Linked DNA regions of Mus musculus. The protein of the gene in region 1 purifies or fractionates together with the protein of each later gene. This does not show direct contact. Links are inferred from orthologs where the notes say so. Each region holds a gene or a part of one and is shown in the gene's direction. Other genes may lie near its edges.

Region 1 (3,815 bases):
CCTTTTTAAAAAGACAAAATACCTCATTTCCCGCTTCTTAAAAGAAATTTCTGGTGCTGATGAGTGTCTTAAGTCCTTAGCTTGGCTGGCTGCTTGTGGTGTGCTTTCAGTAACTTAGTGTTTTGTCCTCTAGGGAGGAAGAGGGTGAAGAGGAGGAATTTGGAGACTTCCAGCTTGTTTCAAAGGAGAATGGATTTGCTAGTGACGAGGTGAGTGCAGAGAGAGTACAACCAAGCTCCACTCGGTGCTCCCCTGCCCTCGTTCTTGAGAACTGAGCTTAGCGTCTTACCAGAAGCAGTGTCCTGTGCTGAGGCGTGGGGACAGAACTTTATAAACCCTCTTGTTGCCTTCTGGTTTTGTCTCATGGCGCTGGAGCTCAAACCTGGGACCATGTGCCCGAAATCCTAGTGCTTTAGGAGGCTGAGGTAGGTTTGTGAGTTCAAGACCAGCCTGTGCTGCACAGCTAGACTCTGTCTACAAAGTAAACAGTTTAGGAACAGGGAAAAGAGCACAGGACTCTGTTCCGTGCTTAAGGCGTGGCAGCACTCCCTTACTGTGATCCCTGTTGTCGGTGTGTAACTGAGTTTGCTGCTCTGCCGTGGCAGGATGAACACAGTGACTCCAATGATGAAGAGCTGGCCCTGGACCTGGAGGATGATGAAGAAGAGCTCCTGAAGCAGTCTGAGAAGATGAAGCGCCAAATGTAGGTGTTCTGTCCAGCTTCTAGACAGTTCTCCCAAGTTGAGGTATAGCCTGCTACCTTTTTAAATAAACTTGCTGGTTTGGTTTCTGCTTTTCGAGATTAACATTTAAACCAGTCCTTCATGGCCTTGAGGCAAATGAGGTGACTGAGCAGGTAAAAGTGCTTCCTGTGCAACCCTGACTGCCAGGAAGGCAGTCTAGATCCCATGATGAAAGCAGAAAACCAATTTCCAGAGGTTTTCCTCTGATCTCCACACTTGTGCCATGGCACACATATGCACATGAATAAGTTTTTTAAAACCCTTCTGTGGCCACTTCTTGTTTTGTTTTTTGGGTTTTTTTTGAGACAGGGTTTCTCTGTGTAGCTCTGGCTGTCCTGAAACTCACTTTGTAGACCAGGCTGGCCTCGAACTCAGAAATCCGCCTGCCTCTTCCTCCCGAGTGCTGCGATTAAAGGCGTGCGCCACCACGCCTGGCTTCTGTGGCTACTTCTTGCGTACTCAAAGATGGTTCTATTTTCCTTAAGTGACATCAATACCAAATATCTCTCAATTCCTCCCAGACCCAATGACATTTCAGTAGCGTTGCTTCCTACTCTCATCGTGTCCTGGAATAGTCTCTCTCTAATCAGGTGTGCTCTGGCTGTTTGTTAGATGGGTATTAGTCATGTGACCCAAGATCAGGAGAACTGAGTCAGTCCCTATGCCCTAAGACTATGCTGATAACTGACCTTGGCAGGAACTGCTCCTATGAAGTCTGTCATTCCTGGTTTTCTTGATTCTCGTCTCAGACAAATGGCCTGCTTAATTTTTTTATATTTAAAATATTTGTCACTCATGAGAGTAAAACTTTTAGAGTATTCAAAAGAATGTATGAGCTGGGGATATAGGTAGAGGACTTGCCTGTATGAATGAGGCCCTGAGCTTAATCTCCACCACATACTACTAAAAACATAGGTGGGTGGGTGGGTGGGTGGGTGGGTGGTGGGTAAGCTAATGGAGGGATGGACAGATGGACAGGGATTGGCAGTGAAGCTCAATAGTAAAGCACTGCATAGTATGTGTAAGGTTCTGGTTTATCCCCAGCACCACAAACGTGAAGGGAAGGATGGGGGGGAGGAGGGAGGAAAGCAGGGAGGGAACTGTTGATATCAATTGGCCAGAATGTGTGTGAAAGCATTGGTAGTACATTTCCTCATAACATCTGGGATTTAAACAATTTCTTTGTGTGTTTCACTTTGCATCTTTACTTTCCCTCATAGCATATCCATAGTATCATAATCTTAAGCAGTTTCACAAAGGTAATTTGATAAAGATCCAGTAGCTTATAGCATGTGCATGACTTTTCCATTCATGTCAGGACGTCATATTGATCTCTATTAGATTTATATTGTTGCTTTTGGCCTGTCATTTCATCCTCTTAAGATCCAGCTGGGGTTCTCATTTGTCACCTGTCACTTTAACTTTTTTGTGTAACTTTAGAATATAACCAGGTCTTTTAACCCCCAGAGGTAGTATTTGTTAAACTTATTTAACTGCAGAGATTTTTCAAATCAGTCCTTAAAGAATGGCAACCAGCTAGGCAGTGGTGGCGCACGCCTTTAATCCCAGCACTTGGGAGGCAGAGGCAGGGGGTTTCTGAGTTCGAGGCTAGCCTGGTCTACAGAGTGAGTTCCAAGACAGCTAGGGCTACAGAGAAACCCTGTCTTGAAAAACCAAAAAAAAAAAAAAAAAAAAAAAAAAAGAATGGCAACCAAAGATGAACTGTCAGCAACATTCCTGAGAAGCCTGGAGACTAATGGCCGTTGAAGGAACTCTCCAGGAAGCCTAGCATTTAGAGGGAAAATACAATATATCTCTGACTAAGAGGTCATCTTTCAAGCTAGGCACAGTGGCCGTGCATTTAATCCCAGCACCGATCTACACAGTGAACTCCAGGACAGCCAGGGTTACATAAGGAGAACTTGTCTCAAAAAGAAAAATAACTCATCTATCAGACCCACCAAATTTCTGCTTCTTGTGACCATAGAGAAGAGGACTTTGAAGGCTGCCTTCTTAAAGAGAATGAAGTTAGAAAAATTAATAGGCCGGCGGGTGGTGCAGACCTGTGACTACCTACTTGAATGCTCAGCTAGGACAATGATACGTCAAGGTCACCCTGGCCTACAGAGTTTTAGCTATCCCAGGCAACTTACCAAGAAGTATCTCAAAATGTAAGAGTAGAGCTGAAGTTTAGAGGGCTTTAGAGAACAGCCTCACTTGTGCAAGGCTATACACTCAGTCTCCAGCACCTCACCAGAAAAGGAACTAGAAAAGACAAACTGTAATAGTGTCGACAACAGGGAGTTCTGGTCTTGCTGTATCAGACTGTTCTCTAAGCACTGATGAGCTTAAATACAAAACAAATAAGTGTGAACCTTCTAGCAGGTACTCCTAAATATGTAGTAAAAATTACGAGTTTTCTGGGACCAGGTGATGGCTTTAGGTGAAGCTGCTAGCTGTACAAGCCTGATGACCTGAGTCCGATCCCCAGAACCCACCTATTGGAAGGACGCCAGCAAGCCAGCTGGGTGTGTCGGTGTGCATTTATAATTCCCCACAACATAAGAGATAGGAGAATGGAGGACTGGAGAGACGGCTCAGTAGTTGAGAGTACTGGTACTGTACTTCCAGAGGACCCAGTTTCAGTTCTTAGCACCCACATGGTGGCCCTCAACCATCTGTCACCCCAGTAACAATGGGGTCTGACATCCCCTTTTATCTTCTGTACACACTGCAAGCATGTGGTGCACAGGCAGAACACTCATAAAATAATCAAGTAATTTTAAATGTTTTGGTTTTGGCTGGTTGGTTTGGGGTTTGATTGATTGATTGATTTTTTTTTTAATTTCTGAAAGCTTTTATTAATTTATTCCTCCCAAAAGAACAACTGCAAAGGAGTTGAAAAGTCAAGAATTTATTGTCTTCATAACAAAATCGGCTTAGAACTGGATCACCTGGCCCTTTCTCTTCTTGTCGCCTCCCAGTTCAAAATGCTTGCATCTCTTAATAGCCAGCATCCTCTTAGATCTGCAGTTGGGCTCAACACACTCCAGTCTCAGCACAATCTTCTTT
Region 2 (4,436 bases), on another chromosome or scaffold:
TCCTGGAACTCACTTTGTAGACCAGGCTGGCCTTGAACTCAGAAATCTGCCTGCCTCTGCTTCCCTAGTGCTGGGATTAAAGGCGTGCTTCAGTCTTTTATCTTTTTCTTTAAGTACCAGAACTGTGTGACTCAGTCTTAGGTGCATAACCCACAAAGCCCTTTTTTGAGCCATGGGGTTGGGGGGTGGGGGGTGTGTGCTCGTCAAAGCATCTTCACCTATGCCATCCATCTAACCTACTGCTTCTCTCTGGAACATAAACAACGTACATGAAGTATGCAACACCCGAACGGTATCCTTCCAACTCAGCCACCAATGAACATGAGCTTCTATCATCCATGTTACTTCCTTTAAAGCTTTTATGCCTAACACATCAAACACTCAGTGCTGGTTATGTAAATGAACTTAGACAGGGACTTACTGTGACACTCAGGATAAAAATCTAATAATCACTTCTTGTTTTTAACAAACAAACAAATGGCACGGAGTCAACACTATATACAGGAGTGATGAGACATCACTGCAGCCGGATGGACTTGACTTCCAACCTCTGAGCCTCACTTTCCTGAGTACCACCTCTCTAAGTTTTAGTTCTACCGGTAAATATAATAACTACGTACCTATGTTCCATGGGGAATGCAGGAATTAAATAAGTATACGTTGATAGAAAAAAGGCGCACTACATATTACCTATTGTCGTTATCACAACGTGATGAACACAACGTGACATACAGCCTAAGACATGATTTCTACTAAATAAAAGGTCAGGGAACTTTGGCTGAGCTTAATGTCCTTCGTTTTCTCCTCCCTCGCGCCACTCCCCCAAGAAATCTCCAGTTAACTCCGAGTTCATGGAAACTTGTTGCGTGTCGAGCACTTATGAGAACTATCGACATAAAGTAGCAGGTTCCTTTTTACTCTCGGGGCTGCTGTCCCGCCGAAAGGCATTCGAGTCATGACTCGGACAAGCTAAGAAGAAAAGAGGTGGCTCGTAATTATGGGTCCCACTTGGGACAGAAGCTCTCGGGACAGTGTCGGGGCCCGACGCAGGCCCGGGTGACTCGGCACCTCCGCCACCAGGTCCAGGCCCTCCCTGCCAGCTCCAGGGGCAACTCTGGCATCATCCGGTTCGCGATCCCCGGTCAACTCACCATGACTGACAGCGTTTGGTGATGCCGCTTCTTTTCCTGAACCTTACAATAAAAACCCACAGCTCCCTCTTTGCAGTCCAGGCCACTGCTCTGAAACCCAGAAACCGCGAGAGGCTCGCCGGAAGTGACGGAACACCGCAGGGGATGGGGTACGGAGGCCTGAAGTCAGCGGCGGAAAAACAGAAAGTCATGGGAAGGCCTGAGGTTTGAATATTACTTAAAGTAAACATTAAAACACTTGATAATTGATTTCACAGGATAGCGACTGTTTATAATGTTTAGATAGTACTCTCTTCCAAACAACTTGATAGGAGCCGTTCTCCTTACGGACTACAATACCCAGAATGCAGCTAGAGTTTCCGGCGTTGATCCCGGCCATCATGGATTCGGGCGGAAGTAATCTATAGCTCACTCTAATTCGACGAACCGTGTATTGGAAACTTATTGGAAACACATTCAAATAATGTGTGACTGAATTTACTTTATGTCTAAGAGTATATTGTTTTCTAAGTATGCCAGGGTCAGATAATAGACCTTCCTTCCCGAAGTAAAGATGTCTGCCAAACATAGGTGGTTTTGGGTGACTGGACGTTAGCGTCAACACCGGCAACAAGGTTCGCAGCCTGAGGAAAGATGTTTCATTTTTTGAGGGACGGGCGGGTCTTATCCAGCTGCGAATAGCAGAGCATTATTGGCTGTCCCCAGTAGGAACCAATCAGAAAGGAGGAAAGGCTAAGAATTATTGGCTGCTGGCGTGGACCAATCAGAAGAGCTGTGATTTGGCGGGAGTCTTGACGACCTCCGGGGCTGTCCGTGTCTCAGCGCCAGTTCTAGGTATCCGCCGCTGTGGCTATGTTCGTGACCGATTTCCGCAAGGAGTTCTACGAGACGGTCCACAACCAGGTGACTCCCATTCCACGATCCTGATCCAAACCTTATCTGGGGGCTGGGGAGAAGAGGGCGAGTGTCCGTGGATGGGCCGGGAGGTCAGAGAGTTGCCACAGAGTTTAGCGTCCCTGTGTTCAACTCATCTGTCCACGTTTGCTTCTACAGAGGGTCCTTCTCTTTGTGGCCTCGGACGTGGATGCCTTGTGTGCTTGCAAGATCCTCCAGGTGAGCTTTGAATACCTTAGGAAGGTAGGACAGGAGGGAGAGGTGACAGATCAGGGTTGGCCCCAGCAGGGGGTAGGTCACAGAAGGGGAGGGACCAGAAGGAGCAGGCAGGAGGTGAGGAACCCAAAATATCCTCTCTGACCTATACTGGAGCTAGAGAGAAGTATAGTGCAAACAGTGAGACAAGTACGTAGTGTTTTATACAGTAACCCAAGTGAAAATGGTTTCACTTCTGAAATCTTTGAATTTGTAAATGACCTCTCAAAGATGGAATTTGAGAGAGGAGATGTGACAGTGGGGAGTGGTATAATAGGGAGTGCAGGAAATACAGGAGCCCCGAGTCTATTAGAGAAGATTGTTAGTTTGGGCTCTGACCATAGTGTGGTTTGTTTTTTTGTTTTTGTTTTTTCAAGACAGGGTTTCTCTGTGTAGCCCTGGCTGTCCTGGAACTCACTTTATAGACCAGGCTGGCCTCGAACTCAAATCCATCTCCCTCTGCCTTCCGAGTGCTGGGATTAAAGGCGTGCGTGCGCCACCACACCCGGCTCATAGTGTGGTTTTTACAATGTGCTGGGGTTAGGAATTTTTCAGAACCCCTGTAATTAAAATTAGGGTATTTTTTTTCTCTTAATGTTTTACTTTGGCACACTGTACAGATTCAGATTGAATTCTTGCTCACAGCCTTGCCACGTAGCTTCTCCTATTGACCTTTTACCAAACAGCATATCACATAGATCTTTGTCTCAACTCAACTAGTCTGCTTCTGGTGATTGCAGGTAAGTTATCTTTAATGAGGGTTTCTGACCACATGCTCTCTCTCCAGGCCCTGTTTCAGTGTGACCACGTCCAGTATACGCTGGTTCCGGTTTCTGGGTGGCAAGAACTTGAAACTGCATATCTTGAACATAAAGAGCAGGTATGAACTAATGAATTGGAGAATAATTAGGCCACTCTACTCAGTGGCAGGTTCTTAATACTTAGCATTTGTCCAGTTCTGAAGTAGGAGAAGGGTGTTTTTGAAGTATCAGTTTTATTAGGCTTAAAGTTATGGTGGCGGAATCAACATTTGCCAAGGAACCACCAATTTAAGGTAGGTTTGAACTACATCTAGCAAGACTGAGGCCAGCCTGGGCTACACGACAAGATCCTGTCTCAAAAATAAAAACAGTTTAGTTGTGGGCAGCACCTACTCTGACCTCACTTGTTGTTTCCATTTATTTATTTATTTTGTATCCCATATCAGCCTCCTTCCTCCTAGTTACCCCCCCCCACAGTACCTCCTCCTATTCCCTTTTCTGAGAAGGAGAACCACCCCCCCTTACAGGGTGTTACCCCCCCCACCCCCACCCTCCCAGCTCATCAAGTCACTGCAGGACCTCTCCCACTGAGGCCAGACAAAACAGCCCAGTTAGGGGAATGGAATCCACATAAAGGCAACAGAGTCAGAGCAGCCCCCTCTTGAGTTGTTGGGGATCCACGTGAAGATGAAGCTGCACTTGCTACATATGTGTGCAGGGGGAGTGGGGGGCAGCAGGCTAGATCCAGCTCATGCTTGCTCTTGGGGAGGGGGTTCAGTCCTAACCTCACTTATTTCATTAGGATACACTACTGCTCTATGTTATCTCTAGAAAATGCATTCCAGTTATCAAACACGTTTTCACTTTGGAATTAAACGGTAGAACCAAGACTCCTTACCTCTGCCTGGGACCAGATGAGAATGGGTTATTGAAGGCCCTATAGGGAATGGGTAGGGCATGTCAAAATGCATTTGGAGTCCCTGGCTGCTTCTAGGATGACTTGGAAGAGATTCATTTATAATTTGAAGTACTTATATCAGTCGAGTTTTTTACCTCCAGTATTTTGAGACAAGATCTTATTTGCTAGCCGAGGACAATCCTCCTTCCTTGGCCTTCAAAGTGTTGTATTACAGGTGTGAGCCCATAGGCAGGCAATTTGGTGTTACTAAGGAAAGGTTTTACCTATAGTGATTGTTTGATAAAGGATCTAATATTGAGGAGGCCACGTGAGGCTGCCCAAGATTTACTGCAAGCCTAACCCACACAGTGCTGGTGATGTGGTAAGCTGTAGGGGACATTGCAGCAACATTTTGGCATTGAGCAACAGCCCGCGAGACTGGTATGTGTGTGTGTGAAGTCCTGCTCCTGTTCTTCA

The links.
Region 2: the proteins of Clspn (region 1) and Cdc45 purify together in Homo sapiens (affinity purification with western blotting; 4 studies listed by BioGRID and IntAct, with this or other methods). This does not show direct contact. The link is inferred for Mus musculus from reciprocal best matches to the Homo sapiens genes CLSPN and CDC45.

Annotation. Positions count from the first base shown.
Region 1 is NC_000070.6:126,580,827-126,584,641, forward strand, and holds part of Clspn (claspin), read left to right. Parts: intron 1-133; coding exon 134-209; intron 210-605; coding exon 606-703; intron 704-3,682; exon of another isoform or gene 3,683-3,815.
Region 2 is NC_000082.6:18,809,133-18,813,568, reverse strand, and holds the start of Cdc45 (cell division control protein 45 homolog), read left to right. Parts: upstream 1-1,596; 5' UTR 1,597-2,003; coding exon 2,004-2,054; intron 2,055-2,204; coding exon 2,205-2,264; intron 2,265-3,087; coding exon 3,088-3,180; intron 3,181-4,436. Other genes in the region: Ufd1 (ubiquitin recognition factor in ER-associated degradation protein 1), read right to left, coding at 1,152-1,154. UniProt on the Homo sapiens protein: Required for initiation of chromosomal DNA replication. Core component of CDC45-MCM-GINS (CMG) helicase, the molecular machine that unwinds template DNA during replication, and around which the replisome is built.